2 linked regions of the Elephas maximus indicus genome follow. The protein of the gene in region 2 purifies or fractionates together with the protein of the main gene of each other region. This does not show direct contact. Links are inferred from orthologs where the notes say so. Each region holds a gene or a part of one and is shown on either strand. Other genes may lie near its edges.

Evidence for each region.
Region 1: the proteins of BRAF (region 2) and RPTOR purify together in Homo sapiens (affinity purification with mass spectrometry; 3 studies listed by BioGRID and IntAct, with this or other methods). This does not show direct contact. The link is inferred for Elephas maximus indicus from reciprocal best matches to the Homo sapiens genes BRAF and RPTOR.

The regions. Positions count from the first base shown.
Region 1 is NC_064837.1:70,450,884-70,466,324, forward strand, and holds the start of RPTOR (regulatory-associated protein of mTOR), read left to right. Parts: upstream 1-9,001; 5' UTR 9,002-9,808; coding exon 9,809-9,970; intron 9,971-15,441. UniProt on the Homo sapiens protein: Component of the mechanistic target of rapamycin complex 1 (mTORC1), an evolutionarily conserved central nutrient sensor that stimulates anabolic reactions and macromolecule biosynthesis to promote cellular biomass generation and growth.
Region 2 is NC_064826.1:9,579,025-9,594,349, forward strand, and holds the start of BRAF (serine/threonine-protein kinase B-raf), read left to right. Parts: upstream 1-8,660; 5' UTR 8,661-8,707; coding exon 8,708-8,833; intron 8,834-15,325. UniProt on the Homo sapiens protein: Protein kinase involved in the transduction of mitogenic signals from the cell membrane to the nucleus. Phosphorylates MAP2K1, and thereby activates the MAP kinase signal transduction pathway. Phosphorylates PFKFB2.

The sequences.
Region 1 (15,441 bases), on a different chromosome or scaffold from region 2:
CACAACAGAACCAAATGAAGTAAAAAAGGATAATAACAGGGTACTAAGAAGAGCTGTACTCCAACTAATTTGAATACCTACAAGAAATGAACAAATTTCTAGAAACACACTACCCAGTTAAACTAACACAAACTGGGGCAGAAAATTTGAACAGACCCAAAACAAAAGATTTTGAAGAGATCATTTAAAAAACTCCCCAAAACAACAAAAAACCCTGACCCAGATGGCTTCACTTGAGAATTCTACCAAACATTTAGAGAAGAAGCTGACACTAATTCCACTCAAACTATTGCAGAACACTGAAAAGGACAGAATACTCCTGAATTCATTCTATAAAGCAAAAAAACGAAACAACAACAACAACAACAAAAAACCCTGTTACCAGAGCCAGGCAAAGACACCACTAAAAAAGAAAATTATAGACCAATATTCCCCATGAATATAAATGTAAAAATTCTCAACAAAATCCTGGCCAATAACATCCAACACCATATCAAAAAATAATACATTATGACCAAGTGGCATTCATACCAGGTATGCAAGGATGGTTAAACATTAGGAAATAAATAAATTTAATCCACCAGATAAATAAAAAAAAAAGGAAAAGAACTGCACAATCATATCGATTGATGCTGAAAAGGCATTTGATAAAATCCAACACTCACTCCTGATAAAAAAAACTCTCAGCAAAACAGGAATAGAAGAGAAATTCCTCAACATAATTAAAGGCATATATACAAAACCAACAGCAAACATATCCTCAATAGAGACTGAAAGCATTCCTAGATGAGGATGCCCTTTATCACCACTCCTATTCAATATTGTACTGGAAATCCTAGCCAGAACAATAAAGCAAGAAAGGGAAATAAAAAGGCTTCCAAATTGGTAAGGAAGAAGTAAAACTATCTCCATTTGCAGCTGATATGATCTTATACTTCCTTGTAGGCGTATGGATATTATCCTATCACTGACAGTGTTGTACTTCAGGATAGATCTTGAAATGTTCTTTTTGACAATGAATGCAACACCATTCCTCTTCGAGTTATCATTCCCAGCATAGTAGACTATATGATTGTCTGATTCAAAATGGTCAATACCAGTCCATTTCAGCTCACTAATGCCTAAGATATCGATGTTTATGCGTTCCATTTCATTTTGGACAATTTCCAATTTTCCTAGATTCATACTTCGTACATTCCAGCTTCCAATTATTAATGGATATTTGCAGCTGTTTCTTCTCATTTTGAGTCGTGCCACATCAGCAAATGAAGGTCCCGAAAGCTTTACTCCATCCACATCATTAAGGTCGACTCTACTTTGAGAAAGCAGCTCTTTCCCAATCATCTTTTGAGTGCCTTCCAACCTGGGGGGCTCATATTCCAGCACTATATCAGACAATGTTCCACTGCTGTTCATAAGGTTTTCACTGGCTAATGCTTTTCAGAAGTAGACTGCTGGGTCCTTCTTCCTAGTCTGTCTTAGTCTGAAAGCTCAGCTGAAACCTGTCCTCCATGGGTGACCCTGCTGGTATCTGAAATCTAGTGGCATAGCTTCCAGCATCACAGCGACACACAAGCCCCCACAGTACGACAAACTGACAGACATGTACCAACTGACATTTACGCACCAACTACTAGGGCTAAAGATGAAGAAATAGATTCTTATTAGCTGCTGCAGTCTGAAATTGATCGAACATGCAATCAAGATGCATTGATAATTACTGGTGATTGGAATGCGAAAGTGGGAAACAAAGAAGAAGGATCAATAGTTGGAAAATATGGCCTTGGTGACAGAAACAATGCTGGAGGGCGAATGATGGAATTTTGCAAGACCAACGATTTCTTCATTGCAAATACCTTCTTTCACCAACATAAGCTGTGACTATACACATGGACCTCGCCAGATGGAACACACAGAAATCAAATTGACTACATCTGTGGAAAAAGACGATGGAAAAGCTCAATATCATCAGACAGAACAAGGCTAGGGGCCGACTGTGGAACAGACCATCGATTGCTCATATGCAAGTTCAAGCTGAAACTGAAGAAAATCATAGCAAGTCCACGAGAGCCAAAATATGATCTTGAGTATATCCCACCTGAATTTAGAAACCATCTGAAGCATAGATTTGATGCAGTGAACACTAGTGACCAAAGACCAGATGAGTTGTGGAATGACATCAAGGACATCATCCATGAAGAAAGCAGGCGGTCACTGAAAAGACAGAAAAGATGGATGTCAGAGGAGACTCTGAAACTTGCTTTCAAACATCGAGCAGCTGAAGCAAAAGGAAGAATTGATGAAGTAAAAGAACTGAACAGAAGATTTCAAAGGGCCTCTCCAGAAGACAAAGTAAAGTATTACAATAACATGTGCAAAGAGCTGGAGATGGAAAACCAAAAGGGAAGAACATGCTCAGCGTTTCTCAAGCTGAAAGAATTGAACAAAAAATTCAAGCCTCGAGTTGCAATAGTGAAGGATTCCATGGGGAAAATATTAAACAACGTAGGAAGCATCAAAAGAAGATGGAAGGAATACACAGAGTCATTATACCAAAAAGAATTAGTCGATATTCAACCATTTCAAGAGGTGGCATGTGATCAGGAACCGATGGTACTGAAGGAGGAAGTCCAAGCTGCTCTGAAGGCATTGGCGAAAAACAAGGCTCCAGGAATTGATGGAATATCAGTTGAGATTTTCAACAAACCGATGCAGCGCTGGAGGTGCTCCCTCATCTATGCCAAGAAATATGGGAGACAGCTTCCTGGCCAACTGACTGGAAGAGATCCATACTTATGCCTATTCCCAAGAAAGGTGATCCAACCGAATGTGGAAATTATAGAACAATATCGTTAATATCACACACAAGCAAAATTTTGCTGAAGATCATTCAAAAGCAGCTGCAGCAGTATATCGACAGGGAACTGCCAGAAATTCAGGCCAATTTCAGAAGAGGATGTGGAACCAGGGATATCATTGCTGATGTCAGATGGATCCTGCCTAAAAGCAGAGAATACCAGAAGGATGTTTACCTGTGTTTTATTGACAATGCAAAGGTATTTGACTGTGTGGATCATAACAAACTATGGATAATGCTGCAAAGAATGGGAATTCCAGAACACTTAATTGTGCTCCTGAGGAACCTTTATATAGATCAAGAGGCAGTTGTTCGAACAGAACAAGGGGATACTGATTGGTTTAAAGTCAGGAAAGGTGTGCGTCAAGGTTGTATTCTTTCACCATACCTATTTAATCTGTATGCTGAGCAAATAATATGAGAAGCTGGACTATATGAAGAAGAACAGGGCATCAGGATTGGAGGAAGACTCTTTAACAATGTGTGTTATGCAGATGACACAACCTTGCTTGCTGAAAGTGAAGAGGACTTGAAGCACTTACTAATGAAGGTCAAAGACCACAGCCTTCAGTGTGGATTACACCTCAACATAAAGAAAACAAAAATCCTCACAACTGGACCAATGAGCAACATCATGATAAATGGAGAAAAGATTGAAGTTGTGGAGGATTTCATTTTACTTGGATCCACAATCAACAGCCATGGAAGCAGCAGTCAAGAAATCAAAAGACGCATTGCATTGGGCAAATCTGCTGCAAAGAACCTCTTCAAGGTGTTGAAGGGCAAAGATGTCACCCTGAAGACTAAGGTGAGCCTGACCCAAGCCATGGTATTTTCAACCACATCATATGCATGTGAGAGCTGGACAATAATAAGGAAGACCGAGGAGGAGTTGACACCTTTGAATTGTGGTGTTGGCGAAGAATATTGAATACACCATAAAGTGCCAAAAGAACGAACAAATCTTTCTTGGAAGAAGTGCGGCCAGAATGCTCCTTAGAAGCAAGGATGGCGAGACTGCATCTTACATACTTTGGACATGTTGTCAGGAGGGATCAGTCCCTGGAGAAGGACATCATGCTTGGCAGAGTACAGGGTCAGCGTAAAAGAGGAAGACCCTCAACGAGGTGGATTGACACAGTGGCTGCAACAATGAGCTCAAGCATAGGGTCACTATGAGTCGGGACCGACTTGACGGCAACTAGCAACAACAACAACATGATCCTATACGTAGAAAATTCCAAGGATTCCACAAGAAAGCTACTGGAACTAATAGGAGGTTTCAGCAATGTGTCAGGGGACAAGATCAACATACAAAAAATCAGTTGGAGTCCTCTATACAAAGAAGATTCCAAAAAGGAAATCAGGAAAACAATACCATTTACAATAGTTCCCCCCTCCAAAAAAAAAGATAAAATACTTAGGAATAAACCTAACCAGGGATGTAAAAGACTTATAGGAAAATAACTACAAAACACTACTGCAAGAAACCAAAAGAGACCTACGTAAATGGAAGAACATACCATGGTCGTGGATTGGAAGACTTAACATTGTGAAAATGCTAATACTACCCAAATCGATCCATAGATATAATGCAATCACAATCTAGATTCCGTCAACATTCTTTAAAGAGATGATAAAACTAATCAACTTTATATGGAAAGGAAAGAGCCCCCAAAAGTAGGAGGCCTCACACTTCCTGATCTCAGAACCTATTACACAGCCATGGTAGTCAAAAGAGCCTGGTACTGCTACAATGAAGACAGATAGACCAATGGAACAGAATTGAGAACCTAGAAACAAATCCATCTACCTACAGACAGCTGGCCTTTGACAAAGAGCCAAAATCCATTAAACAGGGAAGAGGTAGGCTCTTTAACAAATGGCACTGGTGCAGCTGGATATCCATTTGCAGAAAGATGAAACAGGATCCACACCTCACATCAAGATGGATCAAAGACCTAAATATAAAACCTGAAACTATAAAGATTATGGAAGAAAAATAGGATCAAACCTAGGGGCCCTAATTTATGGCACAAATAGACTGTCAAACATAACTAAAAATGCACAGATGGCAGAAGATTAATGAGATGACTGGGACCTCCTAAAAATTAAACACTTATGTGCATCAAAAGATTTCTCCAAAAGAATAAAAAGAAAACCTACAGACTGGAAAAAAATTTTTGGCAATGACATATCTGACAAGGGACTGATCTTTAAAATTTATAGAAACTTCAACACCTCAACAACAAAAAGAGAAACAATCCAATTAAAAAGTAGACAAAGTACATAAACAGACACTTGGCCAAAGAAGACATTCAAGCAGCCAACAAATGCATGAAGAGATGGTTGTGATCATTTGCCATTAAACTAAAACCAAACCCATTGCCCTCCAGGAGATTCTGACACAGTGTCCCTATAGGACAGAGTAGAACTACCCCATAGGGCTTTCAAGGAGTAGCTAGTGGATTTGAACTGCCGACCTTTTGGTTATCAGCCAAGTTCATAACCACTGTGCCACCAAGGGTACCATTAGCCACTAAAAAAAAAAAAAAAAAAACCCAAACAAAACCTGTTGCTGCGGTGTCAATTCTGACTCATAGCGACCTTATAGGACAGAGTAGAATGGCCCCATAGGGTTTCTAAGGAGTGGCTGGAGGACAGGAACTTTCAGCTTTTGGTTAGCAGCTGAGCTCATAACCACTGTGTCACCAGGGCTTCCATTAGCCATTAGAAAGATGCAAATCAAATTAACAATGAGTTATCATCTTCCCTGGCAAAAATGGCAATGATCAAAACACAAACAAACATCAACAAAAAACAGAAAACGACAAATGTTGGCGAGGGTGTGGGAAGATTGGAACTCTCATACATCGCTGGTGGAGCTGTAAAATGGTACAACCACTGTGGAAAACGGTGTGACGCTTCCTTAAAAAGTTATAAATGGATATACCGTATGATCCAACAATCCCACTACTAGGTATGCATCCTAGAGAAATAAGAGCTGTGACACAAATAAATACATGCACATCCATCTTCATTGCAGCATTGCTCACAACAGCAAAAAGATGAAAACAACCCAAGTGCCTATCAACGGCTGAACGGATAAACAAACTATGGTGCCTGCATGCAATGGAATACCGCACAATGTTAAAGAATAATGATGACTCCGTGAAACATTCCACAGTATAGATGAACCTGGAGGACATTATGCTGAGCGAAATAAGTCAATCACAAAAGCACAAATACTGTATGAGACCACTATTATAAAAAGTCAAGAAAAGATTTTCACACAGATAGAAACATCCTTTGATCTTTACCAGGGATTGGGGGGGTGGGGAGAGGAAAACCACTAACTAGATACTAGACACATAATAACTTGGATGAAGGGAAAGGCAATACACAATATTGGGGAAGTCAGCACAACATGACCAAGGCAAAGAAAGACACTGAGAGGTACACAAGAGTAAAAGGCAATAATAGGAAATACTATATACATACACGATCCTGAGATAACAGTAATAGCAAACAGTAATATATGAGTGGATACATTGGTAGATATGTAAGCTGAACAGGTGTGGGATTGCGTATGGGAGTACACCTATGAGCATATATAAGTTTGACAGAGGATATTTCTACATACGCATTTGTATGTGCTGCATATATATCCATGAATATATTAGTGCACACAGTGGGCACAGTTATGAAAACTTCTTAGCCATAACCAAACACCTTGAGGGATTGAGTCACTGGGCTGAGGGTTTAGGACCATAGTCTCAGGGTACATCTAGGTCAATTGGCATAACATAGTCCGTAAAGACAAGGTAATATCTGGGGTCTTAAAAGCTTGTGACCAGCCATCTGAGATACAACTGTTGGTCTCTTCCCATCTGGAGCAAAGAAGAGTGAAGAAAATCAAAGACTCAAGGGAACAATTGATCCAATGGACTAATGGACCACATGAACCACAACCTCCGCTAGCCTGAGACCAGGGGAACGAAATGGTGCCCTGTTACCACTACCAACTGCTCTGATAGGGATAGCAATAGAAGGTTCTGGACAGAATAGGAGAAAAATGTAGAACAAAATTCAAATTCATATAAAAGACCAGACTTAGTGGTTTGATAGAGATTGGTGGGACTCTCAAGACTATGGCATTTAGACCCCCTTCAAGCCTGGAACTGAACCCACTCCCGGAGATCACCTTTCAGCCAAACAATGGACAGGCCTATAAAGTGAACAATAACAACCGTAAGGAAAGTGCTCCTCAGGATAATCAACCGTAGGAGACCAAAAGGGCAGCATTTTCACCAAAAAAGTTCAGAAGGCAGGAATGGGCAGGAAAGATGGGTGAATGGAAATGGGGAACCTAGGGAGGAAGTGGATGGAGTGCCGTCACATCAAGAGGATTGCAACTAATGTCATGAAACAAAACATGTATAAATTGTTAAATGGGAAGCTAATTTGTCCTGTAAACTTTCACCCAAACCACGATAGAATGTTCCAGAAAAAAATAAAAAAGCTGACACTCTCCCACAGCATTGCCCGCAGTGGAGTTGTTATCTGCAGCCCAGGGGTGGGTGGGTGGTTGGGGGAATGGGGCTTGCCTTCCCCAGGGTCTGCTGCAGGGTGACAAGGCAGGGGAAGTTCCTTTGTTCCTTTCAGGAAGGCTTTAGCCCTTTTCTGTGTTTTAGTGAAAATGCCCTGAGTTTTAAGGGGAGAACTCAACTCAGTGGGATGCGATAATCAAACGAATGTCTAGAATGGTAATGGTTTAATCCAAGAACTTTTATTAAATGCTTGCTGTGTGCTGGTGTTGGTGTAATGCTAAGAGCTACAGCTGCTAACCAAAATGTTGGTGGTTCAAATCCACCAGGTGCTCCTTGGAAACGCTATGGGGCAGTTTTACTCTGTGCTATAGGGTTGCTATGAGTCAGTTTGGACTCAATGGCAATGATTTTGGTTTTTTTTTTGTGTTGGATGAGAAAGAGCTGGGATTGCACCATTCATCTTTGTGTGTACTTCCAATGTTAAAAGGAACATGGAATGTCATCAGGATTTTGATGTGGACTGCCACATTGTGTCAAAGCTCTGGGAAGCCACACTGAAGCACAGGCTATCTGCAAGAGCCAAACCTGAGGTAATAGATTAATAAGGCAGGGCTGCTAGATTTCACTCTGGCTATGGACCGATCATTGCTAACATTTTGAGTGCTCACCATAGGCACCTTCGTGATTTAATTTCGTCCTTCAAAGTGGGTATTATTATCCCTGTTTTATAATTGAGGAAAATAAAGACTCAGCTATTTAAAAGATAGACCAAGGTCACACAGAAAGTGATGCAGCCCAGATTGAAATGCAGATGTGACTGATTGCAAAGCCCAAACGCAGAGAGGAAGACAAGTGGAGGCCTCTTTGGACTAAGACAGGGTGCATCCTGCTCTGCTCAACCTAAGGGTTAGAAGTGTGTCTCCCAGTAGACACTCAGTTTATTGAAGGCAGGGCTGCCTGCCTGATTCCTTTAGTTGTGTATTCCCTGCTGTGCCCAACACAGTTTCTGCACCTTGTAAATAAGCAATGTTTACTGAATTGAAATCGAGAAATAAAGTAACGCAGAAGGCTTGATCTACGTAGCTTTTAGTCGTTTGCAACTGAAGCTACAACATCTGAATACACTGCTCAGAAAACGAAATGGACAATAAAAAATTGGAGACGACGAAATTATTTATTCAGTCGGTTTCCTCTGAGGGAAAAAAAGTGCTCAATGTTGTGCAGGATTCAACATGCAAAAAACTTGCTAACTTTCTTTAGTCATATTGATGATGGTTCTTTTTGAAGCTTTTGCTGCATTTTCAAAATCAAATCTGGAGGAAACAATAAGGTGTTCGATTCCTTTAATTTCAGGAGCATGTAGCTCCACTTGTAATAATAAATTTAAAAATTAATAAATTTAGTACGGTATCATCTCAAGGATTGACTTTAGCGTCATTCACGTATCTATTGAACGACAGGCGATAAACCGAGAGAAGCTGAAGGGTGGTAACCGAGGTAACGGGGGCGGGGGTTCCCTTTCCTCCCCGTATCCAGAGAACCGCGGCGAGAACGCTCTGAGTAAGTTTTGTCTCTTAGCCACGCCGTAGGTAGCGATGCATTCTGGGTCTCGGCAATATGGCGTCCTCCTTGATGTGCTGATGAGAAGAGTTTTACTGTAGCTCCAAACGAGACGGCAAAGCTCCCCAAACCCAATAAGCCCACATTACTCGTTTTCTCCGGGGGACCGTGCCGCCCGTTTCTCAGGATTCGTTGTCAGGCAGGAGAGAGTCACGGGGCCGAGGGCCAGGGCCAGCCAGGCCGCGCGGACGCGGGGTTGAGGAACCGGCCGCGGGCGAGCACGATGGGCCGATCCTGGCTCTGTTTGCAGCAGCTCAGGCGAGTGCGGGACCCGCAAGGCTGAGAGTGGCTGGAGGAGACCCGAGGCGTCCTAAACCTACTCCCCTCGGCCGGAGACCTCAGCCCCGTCGGCGAACCGGCCCCAAGAGCGGGCGGCCTGCCTGTCCTCGGATCTGAGGCGTTGGAGGCCGAGAGCAGGGTCATCTTAAGGCCCGAAGTCGCTCACGCTTTTGACAGCTTCGCTCGCAGCTCCTCTGGGAACGGACAGCCCCAGAAGCAGCCAGTGGCTTGGGATCTGGGGGTGAGCGAGTCTGTGCAGAGCTCCTTGGGTTGCCCCATCTTCCCCCGGCTCTTCCCAACCCCCTCCGACTTCCCGCCCAGGGGTCAAGATAAGATCTAAGACTTTTTGCCCGAGTAAGGGTCTCCGCACACGCTCCATTCATTCCCTTTTCTACTCCCCTTTTTCATCTATTATTTCACCAAATCTGGTGCACACTAGTTTTTAAGGCTGGAGGTTCTCGAGCGCTTGCTGCCAAGGACTCCCCCGCCTCCTCCCCCCCTGATGGAGTCCGAGATGCTGCAGTCGCCTCTTCTGGGACTTGGGGAGGAAGATGAGGCCGACCTTACAGACTGGAACCTGCCTTTGGCTTTTATGAAAAAGAGGCACTGTGAGAAGATTGAAGGCTCCAAATCCTTAGCTCAGAGCTGGAGGATGAAGGATCGGGTAAGTGGATTCAGACGGCACCCCTGGATCTTGGTAGTTTTTCCAATGAGGAAAGTTCAGAGCAAGAGTGTCCTTGGGGAAGCACCCTTCCCCCCGCCCCCCCCCCCCCCGCCCCCAACATGTTGCAAGTCAACTAAAAGGCAAAACGCATCTCAGACTCCAGTTTTTAATTGAAAATGGGAAGGGCTCTTTTAGTAATTATTCATCGGGTAGTGCTAATTCAATTTAAACTAAGTTCTCATTCAGATAATAAAAGTGAAGCAGATTTGAAAATCTCGCATTGCAAGTATTTGCATGCTCTTTGATATACTTTGTGCTTTTCAGACTTTGAGGAAAGATAACTAGGGATATAAGCTGATACTTGCACCCACGTGGTTGGTTCACTCCCCCCGCCCCCCCAAGTTGGATGAAGTCTGATGTCCTACAGTATGCTAGGCAACAAGATTATTGGAAAGTGTTCAGCTAGTAACACATTAATGTAGAATTATTTTAAAGTTGCAATGAGTTTCATCATCCTCTTCTAAACAATTTGTCTTGAATCCAAACTTTGCACCTTTTATGTGGTTTCGTGTTGGTGTAACTTGGAGACAGACTTTCTTCGATAGTGGGGTCAGGGTATGACGGGTTGGGACTTGGGTCCAGGCTTTAGGGGCTCCCACGGGTGCTGGAAGCGTGGGTGGGCAGTGACTCACAAGCAACTGGTGGAAAGAAGAAAGCCAACTGTGCTGAGTGTGGTTAGTCAACAATGTTATTAGCTTCTCGGTCTTCAGTGCAAAACCGTGGGGCCATCTCATCTACGCACACTTGTAATTTGTCCTTTTGTAATTTATTTTCTCCTTCAAGGCTGCCTTTATTTATTTGAGCATTTCGGAGGTGTGAAAAGGGGAAGTTGGTGTTACAATGTGGTGTGACTTACTAAACTCTGGCGGCGTAGTGATTAAGAGCTACGGCTGCTATTACCAGAAGATCGGCCGTTTGAATCCACCAGGCACTCCTTGGAAACTCAGCGGGGCAGTTCTACTCTGTCCTGTAGGGTCGTTATGAGTCGGAATTGACTCGACGGCACTTGGTTTGGGTTTTATATGTTTATAGGCGATTACTGTTTTCTAGTATGTGATGTGTGTAAGGTTCCATTTATGATCATTCTAGCTAGCCAGTCAGTAGCAACCAGTGCTTCATTTATTGATTTGGCTTATTTTTAAAAGGCTAGGGAAATGAGTTTCACTCAAAAGTAGCTTAAAAAGAGAAATAAATGGTCACTGGGAGAGGTAGTATAAAGTCTGACTTATGGACATCTTTAAGGATCCCTGGTGGCACAACAGAGCCCTGGTTGTGCAGTGGTGGTGCAGTGGGTAAGAGCTTGGCTGCTAACCAAAAGGTCTGCAGTTCGAATCTACCAGCCGATCCTTGCAAACGCTATGGGGCAGTTCTGCTCTGTCCTATAGAGTCGCTGTGAGTGGGGATCAACCCGATGGCAATGGGTTTGGTTTGGTTTTTGGTTTGACCTTTTAATTAAAATGTTAATTTGTGAACAATAGACATTCCCTAATGAGGGAAAGAAAAGTTCTGTGAGGCTGAGTAACTAGTGAGATTGCTACTTAAAACGGAGCCAGGGGAGAAAGTTTATTGTCTCTTACATTGGCAGTTGTTTAAAGGAGATAAAAATCAACAGCTAACACTTTTAGTTATGTTTGTGAGAGTTTGACATCCTAAAAAGTCCTCAGAGTCTCTTTCCTCTCGTCAGACCCTGAGGGACCTTCTCAGTGCATTCTTCTAGGACAAAGGTTGAAGACTCAAAAGATGCAGAGAGTTGGAAGGTAACTAACATGAGTGAGGCAGGCTTGGCATAAGAAGGATACCGGCACAAGGTAAAAAGATAAATGGCAGCTGACATTTGACTCAGTGTTTGGTGGGTTTTCTGGTGGGTGAGACCAGTGGGCGGGGGGGGGGAGGGCGAGCACGTGTGGAATCTGAAGGGGCAGCTGGACCTCCGCCCTGTCTTTCTCTCCCTTTTTCTCTTCATCTCTCTTCCTTTTCCTCCTCCATCCCTTCCCTAGAAGGGTTTTTTTAAATTTTAATGTCAGGTCTTCCAATTTTTAAACATTGGAATGAACTTAGATAAAAGAGACCCATCTGTGGGACCAGCTTCAGTCAGTGGGTTACCTGAATGTGACTTCTACTCCGTGTTAGTTACAGGCAGCTGCTCCGATTCTCTGAGTCTGCATACAGGCGTCCAGGCCACTAAGGGGCGGCGTTGTTGAAAAGCCTGTGTGGCCACTTGCAGTACACCAGGAACTGTGTAGACCAGTTCTGCCAGTGGGCCACTGACTACTCCAAAAATGCAAACCCGATCTTTGTTTCTTCCCGCGATTGATGTGTAACTCCACAGACTTTTATTTGTGTGTATATTAATAATTACTTACCGGTGGCCTATTTACTGGAGTTGTTATGGAGTCCTAAAGTTTACTTCTTTACCAAAGTTTATGGAAGACTCTAAGAAGTTTACCTGCCACTCAGCGTTCCACATCCTTCCAAGGCCACGGCACAGGCCCGTAGGGATTCCCAAAAGTTTTGTTCTAATTGGTCCTGGTTTTTAAATGCCGTTGTTATTCTGGTTTAATTCTTCAGTTACTGTCAGTTTAGTACCGTTATTATCAAATTTGTTGCTTGGTTAATTCTCCAGTGTGGAGTGAATGATACTTATATTCATGAATAGTGCTTTTGACTTGTAATTTTCTAGTAACTGGACTTACATATGAATTGCAGTTTAGAATGAGTCATTCAGATACCTCTGGCTAAAACAGGTGTGTACGTATCTCCCCCATTTGTACTTTCCTGTGATACTTAGTAGTTTTCACAGTTCGTTTTCCCACTGGAAAGTGGGGCAGGTGGGGACAGCTGTCTCAGACAGCTCTGTTGCCCTGCGGCCTTGCATGTGGAGTGGAGTCAGAAGAGCTTGATGCAATTGCTCTAAAATAAAACTCTCGGACAGACACACGATATCTTTGTGTGTGCGTGAGCTGTAACTATGAAACGATGAAGAAGCACATTCCCTAACCCCTGGCTGTCTCTACACTTAGTAGCACTGCTTTGTAGCCGTGCTTTGAATTAGTCACAGAGGAAGCAGAGTAGATGCATTGAACTCCTACCTGGCCAGTGAAGTGGTTAGGCTGTCCTGTGAGTGAGGGTAAATAGTAACACTGTATATCATGCATTACCCCTCTGCTTTCCTCACCCTCACTCTCTCCAGTTAGGCCTTGCTCCACTCTGGTGAGACTGCTCAACATGGTCATTGTTGTCATTAGGTGTCGTTAAGTGGATTTTGACTCACGGTGACCCCCGTGACAGAGTAGAACTGCCCCATAGGGTTTCCTAGACTGTAATCTTTACAGAAGTAGATCACCAGTTCTTTCTCCCGCGGAGCTGCTGGGTAGGTTTGAACTCCCAGTTTTTCAGTTAGCAGCCAAGTCTTAACTGTTGCGCCACTAGGGCTCCTTAACTTAAGAACGTTGTTGTGTGTCATTCACGCAATTCTGAGTTGTAGTGACTGTGTAGGACAGAGTAGAACTGCCCTAAAGCGTTTCCTAAGCTGTAATGTTGTGGGAAAGGAGCCCTCGTGGTGTAGTGGTTTAGTGCTTGACTGCTAACTGAAAGGTCAGTGGTTTGAACCCACCAGCTGTTCCATGGGAGAAAGATGTGGCAGCCTGCTTCCGTAAAGATTCACAGCCTTGTAAACCCCATAGGGTATTTGTACTCTGTCCCATAGGGTTGCTATGAGTTGGAATTGACTTGATGGCAACGGGGTAATCTTTACAGAAGCAGATCACCAGGCCTTTTTCCCATAGTCAGTGAGTGGGTTTGAACTGCCAATCTTTCCGTTAGCAGCCGAGTGCTTAACCTGTGCGCCAGCAGGGCTCCTTGACCTGGCCATCATTCCTTGGGAAATCTGAAGGTCACTCTCTGTCCTGATCTTTTCTGACCTCTGAGCAGCACTCCACACAGCTGACCACCTGCTCCTTCAAGAAGCCCTTTCCTCGCTTGCGTGTCGTCACGAAACTCCGGGGTTTCCTCTTACGTCACTAATTCCTCCTTCTTTGCCCCCACTGCTGTTTGACCCCTGAGTGTTGGTGTGCCCGAGGACTTGATCATGATCCCCCTTTCTCTTTTCTACATAGGCCCCTCCCTAGCTGGCCTCACCAAGGCACAGGGTTTTAAACGCCATCTCTATCCAGTGAGTGACTCTTTAGTTCTGACCTGTCCCGGAAACCCCTGTGTCCATCAGAACATGTGGTCACCGTTACTCACTCACTTGTTAAGGCTGTAACTCTAGAAGTTATCCTGAATTCTTTCTTTTCCCTCTCCCCGTCCCAGCCAATTCATCAGTTCCAACTGCTCTCAAGTCGACTCTGACCCATGGCGGCCCTATGTATGTTAGAGTAGAACTATGCTCCATAGGGTTTTCAATGGCTGAGTTTTCGGAAGTAGATGTCCAGGCCTTTCTTCCGAGGTGCCTCTGACCTTGAACCTCCAACCTTTCGGTTAACAGCAGAGGACATTAACCATCTGCACCACCCAGAAGTGCCAGCTCATCAGTAGAACCTACCAAATTCACCTCCAAAACGTATCTTGGAGTACTTCATTCCGTGGAACCCTAGTCCGGCAACCATCACTGCTTGTCTGGGTGACCACAGGAGCGTCCGAACTGGCCCCCCACGTCCACTCTTGCCTTATAGTCAGTTCTTCACACAGTGATAAGGGTGATCTTTTAAAAATGGAGTCAGCTACGTTACCTCCTTACTGACCTTCTCCACTGGCTTCCTCAGTGCGTACAGCAGAATGTACGCGCCTAACCATGGTCCACAAAGCCCTTGGTAATCTGGCCCACCTGCCTTTTCTGCTTCTTGGATAAAAAACCTGGAGTGCTCTTCCGTCTGATGTTTGCACACATGCCTTTTTCTTGTTGTTTGCACCCAGTGTCTTGGTCACTTCCTCAGAGAGGCCTTCCCTGGTCACCTGATCTAAAGCAGCTTCTGGGTCACTCTTGATCACTCTTTATTTCTCTGATATTTTTCTCCACACCTCCTGCCCCAGAAGTAAGCTTTCTATCATGGAGCTTGTTGATGCTAGTACATAGGACAGTGCCTGGCCCATAGTCGACAAAAATGGATTCCTGAAAAGGCGAATAGTTTACATAGGGCTTTCACACTGGTTATCTGTCTTAAGGCTCAACAGAGCTGTAAATTGGGGAGGGATTATTGTCCCAACGGTATTGGTGAGGAAACTTAGGGTTTGATGCAAATAGCTTGCCGAGAGCTCCATGGTGAACAGTGGAAGGAAGTGGAGCTGGAGAAACAAAGCCTGGTGAGAAAACAAACTGCAGCCAGTGTCTCAGCCGGAAGATTCAGGCTATGGAGAGGTCATATAGACCAGGATGATAATGTGGGGAGGGGGGACTGGGATACAAAAACAGG
Region 2 (15,325 bases):
AATAAGCATCTAAAAAAGGAAATGAGGTAAAATATCCCTTTCATCACTGGAGAAAAGCATCTAAATTAAATAGAGATAAATCTGACAAGAAAGGCACAATTTAAACGAAGAAAAAATAACATCTTAGGACAGAAAGCAAACTCTGAAAAAAAGGAAAACATCCATATTCTTGGATGAGAGGATTAAAATAAAACAGTCAATTCTCCCCAAACTGATGCATAAATTTAATGAAATTCCAATTAGAACTCTAATGGGGTGGGGGTAGGAAATTGGAATTAAATAAAACGTCTTTAAAATTAGATGGAAACATAAATGACCGGGAATGGTAGAGTAAGCAGCGAAGGGAGACTTCCCAGATGCTGTTGTTGTTCGTTGCCATCGAGTCGGCTCTGACCCCTGGTGACCTTACCTACAACAGAATGAAGTGCTGCCTGGCCCTGCGCACCCGCACCGTCGTTGGCATGTTTGGGTCCATACTGAGTCCATATTGCAGCTATCGTGTCAGTCCATCTCACTGAGAGCTTCTCTCATTTTTGTTGGCCCTCCACTTTGCCAGGTTCGGTGCCACATATTACAACACACTAAAAAGATTTATCCGATATTAGAACTCGCTGGTAACTTATCATTATTGAACTCTATAAGATTAGACAAACATATCAATGAAATGGAATAAAAATCCAGAAAGAGATCTCAGTATTTATACATGGAAATTGACACGTGGTAGAAAGGTGGTAGTTTCAATCTCCTGGAAAAATATAAACTATTTAATAACAGGTGCTGGCACAACTAGCTATGTATTTAAAAGAAAATAAGCTTAGATCTCTATGTTATACCAGATAGAAAAATAAATTACAGATGGATAACAAATTTAAAAGTCAATCAGTCAAATAAACAAAAACCTTGGGGAAAACATGTACTTAATCTATAGGGAAGGGAGACTGGAAAGCCAGAAACTATAAAAGAAAAAATAGACATAAATGACTATATCTAATATTTACACTTTTGTACATATAAATATTGAATAGATATCATAAGCAAAATCAATAGAAGGTAGATTGAGAGAAAATATAATACAGCAGAGAGACATTAATAACTATAATATATAATAGTTATATATAATAAACTGAGACAAGAGAGCATAAAAGACTAAAAGAAAAGTGGTAAAAGATGTAAACAGATAATTCACAGAAGAGAAATTAAAATGACCAATAAACATATAAAAAGCACAGTAAACTCACCACAGGGTAATATAAATTAAAGTAACAATGAGATATCACTTTAAATCTATCAAAATTAGAAAGAGCAGTAATGTCTATTTTTGGCAGCAATGTGGGGAGAAGGAGATTTTCATACATGACCGGTGGAAATGGGGAGTATTAGAGCCTTTTTGGAAAACACTCTGGCCATATCTATTCAAATTACATTTACTTGTTACCCTTTTTCAAGCAAGGCCAGACCTGCTTTATATCATGAGGAGTAAAGCATCAAGAAGTAAGATTATACCTTTAAGGTTGTTTTCTTCAGTTTTGTTCATCATACAAAAAAACAAATAAATTAGAGCTTTACCAGTTGACTCTGAGGGATTACCACACGCATTACTGAGTTAGAAAAACAAGATTGCCTGTTGTAGTCAACTTGCTACCAAGTGGCCAACTGGTCTCCCCAATAAATGGTGCCGTATCCTCTGTAGCTGGCAGGTTGGATGTTCAGTGGTAGCAGGATCAAGAGCCACCTTGGAAAGTGGGAGCCCATGCTGTTGGGCTCATGCGTAACCTCAGTCTCTGCCATCATAGCCAATTCGACCATGCATCCATTGGCTAACTGCTGAGACGGCCTGGGGCAGGCTGGCTGACGTCAACAGGCAGAATCACTTTGTCTATTTGGTTGTTTAGTGCCTTATCCACGGTGGATGCACTCAGGTGGGTGTTAGCATTCGATAGGAAGATTTGCACACTCTATGTCAACTCTCGTATGTCTGTCCGCATGCCTCTACCCAAGACCTCCTCGTCTCTGACCTGTCAGCCCCTTTCCTTCTAGGCTCCGGATCATTGACCACGGCCCAGGAATCTGCATCTGTTTTCAACTTGGGCCACTGCTCCTTCCACACAGAGTAGACGACCAGTTGGACGACTCACAACCTTGCTTATTGAGAAGATCTTCCCTCTTCCATATTATTCAAGGCCACCCCTAAATGTGAATATAATGCAGCTGCACCCCATTCAGCTTGTACCTGTGTACCCAGCTGACATGCTGGTGACCCAAGCTTGAGTTTTCCTTCCTCCTTTAGCTCAGTTTACAGGACACCCCTCTCCCCTGCCCAATACAGCCACAGAACTTGTGCAATGTGGTCGGTGATGCGGGGGTCTCGGCTGCCTGTTCCTCCAGCTTCCTTAAGCCCTTGGGCCGTGCTCAGGTTTGATCCCAAATGTACCACTTCCACCTTATGATGGACGCTGCCTGGCCTGTGTGACTTTATGACATGGCAGGTCTGACAAAACCCGGAAAGGGCATTTCTGGACCCATAGCCCCTGGTTCCCCATCGTCCAGCGTTCTGTTTCTGTCAGGACCCAGTGATGCTCCAGAAAAGGTTTCTCAGGAGTGTCCTCTGCTGCAGATGACCTGGCCGTGCTCCAGAATGGCCTGTACTCTCTACTGGGGCTTGCCGTAAGCTCCCTACTGAACAGATTTAAGTTAAATCTGCCCTTTTTGCAGATTTACTTCCAGACCTGGGTACAAATGAGGGCTGTTATAACAGAGGCCAATCTCGATGATCCATGCTTTGCTATTCTGAGAATCACTCTGTTCAACGCTGGTTCATGGTTGTCGAATCACCTTACGAGGTGGTTCAAGCCATCATGCAAATAGGCTACTGGCAGGTGTGTCCCACCAGTCCTCCAAATTCACTTGATTCCGGAACACTGCTAGGACTTCAGCCTGGCCCTTGCCATAAGACAACACAACAGTCTCTGACAGGGGTGGCATAGCACCAAGTGCCAGGATGCCCGGGTGATTGATATCAGGCCATATGTGTGCAATGAGGCTACATCAACTGAAAACTCAGCAGCCATGGAAAGCAGCCTCTGATTATTTACGGGAGTTTACAAAAGGGATAGTTCCCAGGACAGGAAGCCGTATTGCCCATCCCCATGGGGCATGACTGTCACCCCTTTGAGCACAGCTGATATTCACAATGAGTAAAAGCCTGTCAATTTGTCACTGGTATTTCAAATACCAGCAGGGTCACCCATGGTGGACAGGCTTCAGTGGAGCTTTCAGACAAAGACAGACTAGGACGGAAGACCTGGCCAATATAAACCTTATGGATTGCAACAGGATATTGCCCAATCTAGTCAGAAGATGAGCTGCCCTGGATTGGAAGGCAACAATGAACTCAAACATATCAACAATCATGGAGATGGTGCAGGACCTGGCAACGTTTTCTTCTGCTGTACAGACTCAATGGCAACCAACAAAAACGCCATTCAACCAAGTGTGAACGGTGTCCCTGGAATCGTGTGCCCTGCACCCCAGGTATTCACTAGATCCACCACGGTCTTCCTCTGCCATGTCAGCTGCCCTTGGCCTTTGTTCACTGCCCTTGAACCTGTCTGAAGATCAGGAATGCTCATGCTGAGACCACCTCTCATGCTTCCCACGTGGAATGCAGCCTCTGCTGTGCCCAGAGCTGCTGTTTGCACAAGGCCAGAGTAGGGGTGGGTTCCATACAGGTGCGGGGACAAAGGCTCTCTCACTAAACCCAGGACACTTTTTTCACAGGTACTCAAGCCCAGACCTCACAGGGTCTGTCACCAAAGTGTCTCATGAGCTTCTCCTCTCCATTGGTTCTCAACACTGGGCCCCCTGCAACAAAAGGATCTACCTTTGCCGCAGAAATAAGCAGCTGTTATAGTTTTTTTTTTCATAGTTTAGTCTGTCTCAGTACATAGTATACGAACATCTCCATATTCTCTTTCCAACTCATCCAAAAAAAGACAAGGAAGCAAACATCTAAGCCAGAACACTTATTATCTGTGATTATTTTAATGGTGATTTTATTTATTTATATGGGGTGGGGGAGAGAGTTGGGTACTTGTTTTATACCTAGGTCCATTCTAGAAACAGATAATGGTTTATAATTTTTAATTAAAAAAAAAAACTTTAGGCTCCTAGGCATATTTAATATCTCCCAAACTACTTTCTTATGACCCATTTTCCCATGGAGAGTAATTAAATAAATCACATTCAAAGATGTGCAGTTACCTGTATGCTGAAAACTTGACAAGGCAATAGGTCTTCAGGAACAGAGAAAAAAAAGTTAGCTTCATGACAGCTCCCATCATTCTGCAAAGTTCCGTCTGGTGATGTCAGATTTCAAGGACAAGTTGTAGTGGTCTGGAAGTAATTGTTCTAGTTCTGCGTTGTCCACGATGTTCCCCAGTATTAAAGAAAACTTTAATGTTGTTTCCAGCTCACAAACACCTGGTAACAGGCATGTCACTTATGAGCGGAATAAACAAATGTCTTCAGACTTAGTAAAAACAAGTAAGTTCAAAAGGTGGAGGATCCTCCTCTCAGGTGCTCAGGTACTCGGGTCCTCAGCCACGTCGGTTATTGAAGCAAGAGACTTACTTTACTGTGTCGGCTTTACATTTAGCTTGTTCATTTTTAGCTAGAGCCCTCTCTATGCTTCCATGTAGGTTTGGGAGTTTTGACCTTGATCTCTATACTAAGAGACCTGTAATATCACGAAGCTGCGGTACGTACTTATCAAGACCCTGTAGACCAACAATTGTGACATTCCGCTTCTGGCTGAGCCCAGCCTGGTTGGCTGCCATGGCCACAGCCTCCTGCTGAGAACTTCTAAATGACAACATTGGCCTTGTCTTGTCGTCACCATTTCACAGCCTTTGGGCCCAGCCTCATCCAGAACCACTACGTGTCTCAGTAAGGTGAAATACAAAATGATAGACTATTCAGTCTTCTTGTTAAAGTCACAGCGTTCCTGGCTCCTTAATTTCCCAACATCTAACTGCTTACACTATTCTAGCAGTTAATAACCTTTCTTAGAGAGTGAATGGTTGTCCCATATGAAATCAGGGAGGGTAAGTTTATGTTCTTGCAAGAGAAGTTCTTATGTGAAAAGTGCCACCTGCAAAACCACACAGGAGAGACATGCTCATATATACACATGTTGTTGTAGTTATTGTTAGGTGCTGTCGAGTCGGTTCTGACTCATAGCGACCCTGTGTACAACAGAATGAAACACTGCCCAGTCCTGCACCATCCTAACAGTCCTTACTATGCTTAAGTACATTGTTGCAGCCACTGTGTCAATAATAAACCAAAAAACCAAACCCGTTGCCCCCGAGTCAGTTCTAACTCATAGGGACCCTATAGGTAGAACTGCCCCATAGGATTTCCAAGGCTGTAAATCTTTGTGGGAGCAGACTCCCACATCTTTCTCCCGTGGAGTAGCTGGCGGGTTTGAACCACCAATCTTTCAGTTAGCAGCCGAGCTCTTAACCACTGCACCACCAGGGCTCCATTCATACATGATAAAAAGCCTGAATAACTAGGATATTTGACCCCAAATGCTATTATTATGTTACTCTAATATACAAAATACATAATTGTGATCAACACATACTCCAGTAACCTAAAGTGGGTATTTATTTATTAAAACGTTAAATTAACAGTGGACTTCCGTGATCTAAAATTGAGTCATTGAAATAAAAGCAAAGAGAAGTTGATTATTGGTCATGGCAGATGCTGAAACTCGAACTTCAGATCCAAGAGGAAAAAAGATGGTGGAAGAAGTAGCCAACAAGTAAATTAATAAAAGAGTTTTAAAAGCAGGAAAATCCAGATTTTTCCTTCAGAGGATGGCACCAAATATGGAAAAGATGAGAAGGTGAAGAGAGATATATGTCCATTTACCAACCTGTTGTTGAAAAACTTCAGAAGCAGCTGAATTCAATCATTAAAAAAGATTACAGGGATCAACGCAAAGATTTTTGTTTTTTGCAACAGAGAATTAAATATGGAATTAGTATTTATCCTTAAATAAGGAAATCCAAAGGTGGTGCCACCCATCTTTGCAACAATAAAAACATGACAAACAAGGAAGGAGGTGCCACCAAGTGAGAAAAAAATCCAGGATGAGCAGCTGTTGGGCCAGCAGTGGGGCTTGCAGACCTTGGCTGGGACATGTCAAGTTATCATGACTGTGATATTCAGGGGTGGGCACTTAGCATAGTAGTTGGATACTGAAGGTTTAGGCCAGGTGGAGACGCCTAGACTGTTATACAGATCTAGGAGTCATCACTGCAGGTAACCATTACCTATGTGTCTTCTGACTGTGGTGGCTTGCATGTCACTATGATGCTGGAAGCTATGCCAATACTAGCAGTCACCCATGGTGCACAGATTTCAGCAGAGCTTCCAAACTAGGACAGACTAGGAAGAAAGACCTGGTGCTTTACTTCTGAAAATCAGCCAGTAAAAACCCTATGGAATATTGTCCAATATAGTGCTGGAAGATGAGTCCTCTAGGTTGGAAGGCGCTCAAAATACACACTGGTCACAACAATGGACAGGAGCATGCCAACAATCTTGAAGACAGCACAGGACTGGGCAATGGTTTGCTCCCTTGTATGTGGGGTTGCCATGAGTTAAAACCGACTCAACAGCAACTAAGAACAACGATTTCTCAACGTGGAGGAATAGTCATATTCTGATCAATCAATCAGCCTCACCCCAGAAGTAAGGATCAGCTCCTGGCTTCGTGGTGACCCTATCAATATGCAGGTATCGAGCTTCAGAAGTCAACAGGTTGGTTTTCTATCTCCTCAGTCATCTTGAACACATTAAGGAAGTCACTGGTGAACTCCCCCCTCGCAAAAAGTACAAAAAGGCAGAGTCCACTCAAGCTTCCTTTGACATCTTCTTCAATTATATGCTTAGGCTACTTCAGTGATTATTTGCACACCATCGAGAGCCCACAGTAACTTCTACTGTGTTTCTCACTCCTGTTTCTCCCTTTCTTAAAACATTTTTTAAAACTAATTGGTCCTCCTTTTTAAAAAAAAACATTATTGTGGCAAAATATATAACACATAAAATTAGCCATTTTAGTGTACAGTTCAATGACATTAGCTACTTTCGCTGTGCTGTGCAACCACTATTTGCAAACCTTTTTCATCATCTCCTTGGTAGCCATTAAGCAATACCTGCCCATTCCCCTCCCCCGTCCCCTGGTATCCAATAACCTGCTTTGGTCTCCATGCATCTGCCTGTTGTGGCTATGGACTCAAGCATGATAATGATTGTGAGGGTGACACAGGACCGGGCAATGTTTCCTTCTGTTGTATATGGGGTCGCTATGGATTAGAACCTACTCAACAGCACCTAGCAACAATAATAAGCTATTCCCTATAAGGGGGACCATGCAGTATTTGTCCTTTGGTGTTTGATTTTTTCCATTCAGCATGTTTTTTCCAAGGTTCATCCGGATCACAGCATGTAACAAAACTTCGTTTCTCTTAAAGGCTGAATAATATTCTTTTATATCGGATATACCACATTTTGTTCATCCACTCATCTGTTGATGGACACTTGGGTTGTTTTCACCTTTTGGCTCTTGTAAATAACGCTGCAATGAACACTGATGATCCCCCTTCCTTTTCAATAAAGGCACTTTTAGTAATGAATTGGACTTAACTGATTCCATTCTCTAGCTGGTCTTCTCAACGGGATTTTACCTCTTCCCTCCCAGATGTTTTCACAACAATTGGCACAGACTGCCTTAGTATATATTCTGTTCATAACAGGCACAAAAGCACAGAAAATACTTTGAATGATTTTCTTCAAAATAAAAATGATTAAAGCTTTCATGCTTCAGATGTCCACGTGTCGCACAGGCCCCAGCACATGGAAAGTGCCCAACTGATGAGTGTTAAATGAACGAACCTGGAAAATGAAAAATACACAAAAGGAAAACGTTTTATTCCTCAAAGATGAAAAAAAAAATGTTTAGACTTCCATTTAGCTCCAACTAACTGGTCAAATCCTTTTATCAAAAGGGTCCAAGCGCCATACTGATTATTTAGCTGTTTCTAAACACATTTCTATCGAATTCTGCCCGGCTGACTCAGCCTCGGGCTTTACAATCTTTTTTATTTTTATAACCCGGAGCCTTCCTTCCGTTGTAATGGAAACAAGCCCAGTCGCAAGGGCTTTCCCGGCGCCCTCCCCGCAGGACTCGGGCGCCTTCTCCTGCAAAGCCAGCCCTGCTCTCCGGCAGGAGCCCACATTCCACAGCAGGCTGCCGGCGGAGACGACCCGCCCCAGGCGGAAGCCGCAGCCATGGGAACCGCGAGCGCAGGAAGCCGGAGCGCGAGGGCGGAGAGCGGAGGAGCCGCCCCGCGACGGCGCGCCCGCGATGACGTCACGCCCGCGGGTGACGTCACGGCCGTGACACGCTCTGACGCCGTTGCCGCGGCGACTTCCCTCGTCTCCGCCCCCTCCCCGCCCCCCGCCGGCGTCCTTCCCCCATCCCCTCAGGCTCGGTCGCGCCGGGGCCGCGCGCGGGCGGGTACCTGCGGAGGCCCAGCGCCCCCCGCCCGGCCGGCCGGCGCCCCCGCCGCGCCCCGCGCCCCTCCGCCTCCCCGCCCCCCGGCCGCCGCGCTCGCCGGCGCTCGGCTGTAAGATGGCGGCGCTGAGCGGCGGCGGCGGCGCGGAGCAGGGCCCGGCGCTGTTCAACGGGGACATGGATCCCGAGGCGGGCGCCGGCGCTGCGGCCTCGTCGGCCGCCGACCCTGCCATCCCCGAGGAGGTGAGTGCGGCGCCGGCCGGCGCTGGGCTTGGCCCGGGAGAGGCGGCGGCGGGGCTGGCGCCCTCGGCCGCCTCGTCCCCGGCGCGGGGCTGCGGGCGGGCATCGCCGGGTGCCCGCGGCCCGGCCGCTCTCCGCGACGTCAACACCCAGGGCGGCCCGGGGCGCTTCCCTGGCCCCGGCCCAGCTCGGGGGGTTCGGGCGGCCGGGCCGAGCCGGAGGCTGTCGGCAGGGGGCGAGAGCCGGGCTGCCGGGAAGGTCACGCCTGGCGAGGTGGCCGGCCGCGTCGGTGAGGTGTTGTCGCGGTGGGGGGAGGGGGCTCGTGTGCGGCCGGGACCCCGGGCCGAGCGGCGGGACCCCGGGCCGAGCGGCGGGACCCCGGGCCGAGCGGCGCCTGTGGGCGGCTCTCGGTGGAGGGGGGATGACGGGGCGCCCGGCTCCCTGCCGGCTCGCCCGGCTGCCCCCAGCTCAGGCCGCTGCCCGCCCTCCCGCGTTCCTGCCCGCCCGGGGCTCTCTGCTCACCTCTTCTGCTCGGCGGGGGTGTTCACCTCGACTTTACTTTTTCAGCCCCAAGCCCCCCCCACCCCGTCCGCTGTGTTTTCCGTCTATGTCTCAGGCAGGCTGGTGACCCCCATCCCAGTGTCATCCGCCTCCCCGCTCGCTCTCCGCCGGCTGGGACCTGCCCGCCTCTAACCTCGGCTGCTACCTGAGTCCGTCTTCCACTTGTCTTACCTGAGCCCTCTGGAGGCGCTTGCCGCCGTTCCGCTGCTCCAGCACGTTACTGTCTTCTCCGGTCCTCTGGACACTTTGGAGCCACTTACTCTCCGGATCCCGGGCCCTGTCAAGATTCTTTCAAGTTTCCACACTTTGTCTGTTGTCACCCTTGCACTGCTGACACTTTGGGCTGGTTTTCCATTGTGCATTCCCCTCTTATTCCTGCCCATTTTCTGTTGACTTGATGATTTTTTTTTCCCCTATAGTCCTTTTCGTCCCAGTTTGCATTTTTCACTTTAGTCTGCTTAGTCCTTGCCTCTCTCAGCTTCTTTTTGCGTTATTCAGCCTCTCATCACCTTTTCAGATTAGCTTTATTTGCATGTCGCTTTTTATTACATAAAATTTATTGCATTTTGTATTTGGTGTTTTATTACATAAAGTAATATACTTTGTTTTACTTTACAAAAAATAAGAACGCATTGCCATCGAGATGATTCTGACTCGTAGTGGCCTTATAGGACAGAGTAGAACTGCCCAGTTGTATCCTAAAGAGCCCTGCTGGCACACTGGTTAAAGTGCTAGGCTGCCAAGCCAAAGGTCGTGGGGGGAACCCACCAGTGGCTCCTCAGGAGAAAGATGTGGCAGTCGGCTTCAGTAACGACTTACATCCTTGAAACCCTATGGTGCAGTTCTGCTTTGTCCTACAGGGTCGCTGTGAGTCAGAATCAACTCGACAGCAGTGGGTCATGGTTATGCTAGAATAACTGTGCTTTATAATTATTAATTTAATAATATGCCTTATTCTGTTGACTTTGCTCTAAGCTCTTTCCTTCCTACTGCTTATACCTTGTGCCCCAGTTCTCATAAAGTCTCATTCTTTCTTCTATTTTTCTTCTCTCTGTGCCGTTCTCTTTTTCCTGCTCCATTATCTTTACTCTGGAAAGTCATTTGATACGCTTGCTTTGTTCAGAATCATTTGCTTGCAATATTTGTTTTCCACTGTCTTACCCCACCTCCATCTATGCCCAAAATGTGTTCAATACCATTATTTGATTTAATCTAAATTTCTCAGGTTTTTCTCCCTTATTTCTTAATGTCATCAAGCCACACCACTTTCCACTTCCTTTCCAGTTTGCATTTCTGCTCAGGTCACTTTCCTCTAACATCTGCTCATTTCCCCCAACTGCTTGGATTCGAAGGATGGGGCTCTTTCCTTCTTTCATTTCCTCGTTTATTCTGTTGCCCTTGTCCCCGGTTCCCATGCGTTCTGCCTTATTTCCTGGCTTTTGGTACTGAACTTGCTGAAGCTTCCTCTTGTCTTCCCCATACCTCCACGTTCCTTTTTATTTATAAACAGCTTTGTTCCATTGACTTGGAAATGTATTTTTAGGATACATTGTTTTTAATGGGCAAATACTAGGGGTCACATCTGCTTTCTATTTTTTCCGTGGATCGGATATGCTTTTGTCTCACCAGGCACAGGTGCCTCTAGGCTTTGCTCTGAAGTATGTGTGGTTTTGTTGAATTGTAGTGTTGTTTGGAGACTATTACAGAGTGGAAGAATGGATAAATTATTGCATATGAGTTATGGAATTGTAATTCTCTGATTATAGTATTATTTACATTGGGAACTTGATTTCAGAGTCTATATTAGAACAATTTACAATGACAGAGAGAAGACATTTGTTAAAGTAAAATCTCTACTCTGTTATAGTAACTTGAAAGGGCCAGATTGTTTGGCGTTTAAGGGTTCCTGGACGCTGCTCCCTGAAGATTCTGAATCAGTCGGTGAGGGCTAGGGCCATGGGTTTCTGTATTTGGCAGACTTTCTAGGCAGTCCTCACTTACACCAATGCCTGAGAACCTCTGGGCCAGGTGAAGTTAGGTTCAAATTGCCAGTAGTTGGAAAGCATGCTCATATCTCCTGAAACTAAGGATACTCTTAATTTTAAGTAGTTAAAAGAGATGTGTTTCTCACTGCCCCTTTTACTCAGGTTTTGATGTTTAGTGATGAATAGTCAATTTTCCTCTGTTTTCTTACAAAGGCTGGTTATAAATGTATTTAAAAAAAAAAAAACAAAAAAAACCTTCTGGCATCGAGTTGATTCCGCCTCATAGTGACCCTCATAGGACAGGTTTGAACTGCCTCATGGAGCTTCCAAGGAGCGCCAGATGAATTCGAACTGCCGACCTTTTGGTTAACAGCTGTAGCACTTAACTACCACGCCACCAGGGTTTCCAGTAAATTTATTGGGGGAGGATAAATGATTAATTAACCTCCTTTGAATACATGTATCAGTGTTACAGCTGGTAGAATGCATTCCTCCAAGAAATCCTTTTAAATTTGGAGTCGATACTGCTAATTCATTGGAAGCCGAAATGTACTGTGATCTTTACATTGAACTGTCTTCCTTATATGCCCTTAAAGCCATATCTTACAATTGCCAAGTACTGAAAAGTAATGAAAAATCGTGCTTGTGTATAATGACATATTTTATTCTAAAGAAGTTACTTAGCTACCCCATGTCTAACAGAACGAAAGGTTGCCATTCCCACATCATCCTCACAATTGTTGTTATGCTCACCTTACCTGACAGTAAGATATAGGTGTTTTACAGAAAAGTTTCTCAGAGGGAGATTTCAGCAGCACTAATTTTTTTTTTCTAATTACAGAGGCAAAGCATGTTCATTATAGAAAAATTGAAAAGGTAAAACTAGAAAAATAAAGTTTAAAAATCATCCGTAAACGTGCCACTTAGATGTAACTACTATAAGCGTTTTGGTGAATACGCATCTACTTTTTAGGCATGTACAATACACTGTGTGTAGTTCCATAGTCGTTTTTAACCTGACTATATAACAAAGCTTTGTAAGTATTACTAATTACACTATGACTTATTTAAGTAATCCTTTTGGGGAGTATTAGGTTGTTTGTGTATTTTTACTGTGATCAAACATCTTGAACATAGAGTGTAGATTTTAGCTTTTAAAATTATGTTAGGAGTGAACAAATTTCATGTTTAACTTCGTAGATGCTCAAAATAGAATGTTCTGGTAAATGACAGGAGCTTATTAAACATTCATCAAATGAATATGCTTAAACTTTAGACAATAAACATTTACTTCTTACCATGGATATTTCTCTGATGTTACTTTCTGCCTGTGACCATATGGTATAAGATTACCAGAGTGTGATTTTTATTAAGTTGTTTTCTTTGGAAACCCTGGTGGTGTAGTGGTTAAGAGCTACGACTGCTGACCAGAAGGTCAGCAGTTCAAATCCACCAGGCACCCCTTGGAAACTCTGTGGGGCAAATTCTACTCTGTCCTGTAGGGTTGCTATGAGTCGGAATCAGCTCGACGGCAATGGGTTTTAGTCTTCTTAAATCGTGTTTCTAGAGAAGGGAGCCTCTCACAATTGCATTACAATTACATTATTTTCTGTTATCAGGATATCTCCAGTATTGGTTAAGCTGTGTAATTATAGTAATGCATTGTCTAGGGACTGTTCTGGCATGGAATCTCCCTTATAGCAAGGTCCTCTGTATTAAAACACACCCTCATGAGCCATGCCAAACCAGGCTGAATTGCACATGCCTCAGAGAAGTGGTGGTCCCACTAAAGTATGTACTCGTGCAGTTCCCGCTTTTTGCTATTAGTGTCGTCGTTACCGAAAAACAAACCCGTTTCCATCCAGTCGATTGGGACTCATAGCGACCCTGTAGAAAAGAGTGGAACTGCCCCCTAGGGTTTCCAAGGAGCGGCTGGTGGATTCCAACTGCTGACCTTTTGGTTAGTAGCCATAGCTCTTAACCACCCCACCACCAGGGTTTCCATTGTTGTTAGGTACTGTCAGATCGATTCCAACTCATAGCTACGGCATGACAGAGTAGAACTGGCCCAGAGGGTTTCCTAGGCTGTAATCTTTATAGGAGCAGATCTCCAGGTCTTTTCTTCTGTGGAGCTGCTGGGTGGGTTTGAACCTCGGACCTTTTGGTTAGCAGCCAAGTGCTTAACCACTGCACCACCAGGGCTCCTTTGCTGTTATTTGTCTAGGTGTATTTGAAGGTGAACAAAATGTGTCTTTTAGATTATAAACTATAAAAAAAGCTGTTATTCTTTGGTATTTCTGGTGGTCCCTCTCTGTACTCTTTCTCATTTAATGAACAAGAAACGAGTGTGAGACACTCACTCCTTTTATTTAGGAAATTACTGGCTATCGGTTACTTAACCTATGCTGGCTATAAAAGGAATCAATGCTCAATAAACAGGGAAGAAAGGAATGTCGGGACTGGGTGCTTGACTCCTTAAATGTAGTAAACTTGAGGGTGTGCTTGATTTAATTGTATTAAGGTAACAGGTTAGAAAAATTATATTAGGAGAACAGGCCAGAGAAATCTTTGACTTTTCTGTTTCCTGGTCTATACCTTGCTTTCCTGATGAGGAAAAATAGGAAGCTGATGGAGCTGTAGCAGCTGGAAACCTGGTCAAGTTCTTTAAGTAGTGGGAAGAGAGGGAAGAAGCAGGCTACATTGTTTCTTGTTTTGGTTTTGGGCATTTTCTAAGAGCTGATGCCTACTTTGTTGTAGTATAGAGTCCCTAATGAGGGGGTCTTCTTTTCACTTTGTCTCCAATTGTGGAGTTATTTTCTCCTTCAAATCTGCAGAAGTGCATTTGTTTTCTTTGACATACTGACATTAACTTAAAAACCCATTTCTGTCGAGTTCATTTTGACTTACAGTGACCCTATAGGACAGGGTAGAACTGCTCCGTGGGGTCTCCAAGGCTGTCATCTTGATGGAAGCAGACTGCCACATCTTTTTCCTGTGGGGAGGCTGGTGGCTTCAGACCACCTACCTTTATGTTAGCAGCTGAGTGCTTCACCCTGTGCCACCACGGCTTCTTGACATTAACTCAGCTGAGTATATAGTCAACATTTTGTGCCACAATCCCCTTATTTTCTGAAACCCACAGTGTTCCTATGCTTCCTAAATTTCTACCTACGTTGTCATTAAAATAAGCTGCCTTTTTAGTAACCTTACTGTGATGTTGTCTTCCACAGAAGCCGAATTTAAGTTCTTTACTCATTCTCTTTATCTGTTTTACCTACATTGGGTGTTCTGTAAAGTTAGAATCAGAAATAGTTATAGAACTTCTAAATTCAAAATAAGTGAGCCTGTTTATGAGCTTTCATGATTTTTAAGATAGTGTTTTCATGAAAAGTCTTAATGTTATAGATAACGTAATGCTAGCGTAAGAACCCAAACATGTAGCTTTATTCATTCTTCTCCTCTCAAAATATTTGGTGGTGGAACTGACGTGTTCTGGGGATAGTTTTTATTTTTCAGTGTCTTTTGGCTACCAACCTGATTTACTGTCATACTGATCAGCATGGTAGTCAAAAGAAGCTCTCAGTGCAGCCTCCACCCTAACATTAAGCAATTATTTTTTTCCCCTCTACCCTCTGAGATTATTTTGGTTTTCACGTTCTCTCTTGGGCGTAAAAAACCATTATTCTTGTTCCTTCCCTTACCAAGGCTATGCAGATAGAGGGAAATCGTCGCTCAGGGACTTTTTATGCCTCAGCCCTGGGAATGCCCTCAATGCAAAGCATCCACAATTGCTCTGAACCCAGTTGCCTTTGTATCTTCTGAAAGCTTGTAACATCCGATGAAACATCGTTTTCATCCTTGTTGTGTAGCTGCAGCTATTGACAACACTTTTGGGGCAAATGGACCATAGAGTGGTGGTTTTCAAATTACTCTAGGACAATTTAAAAAT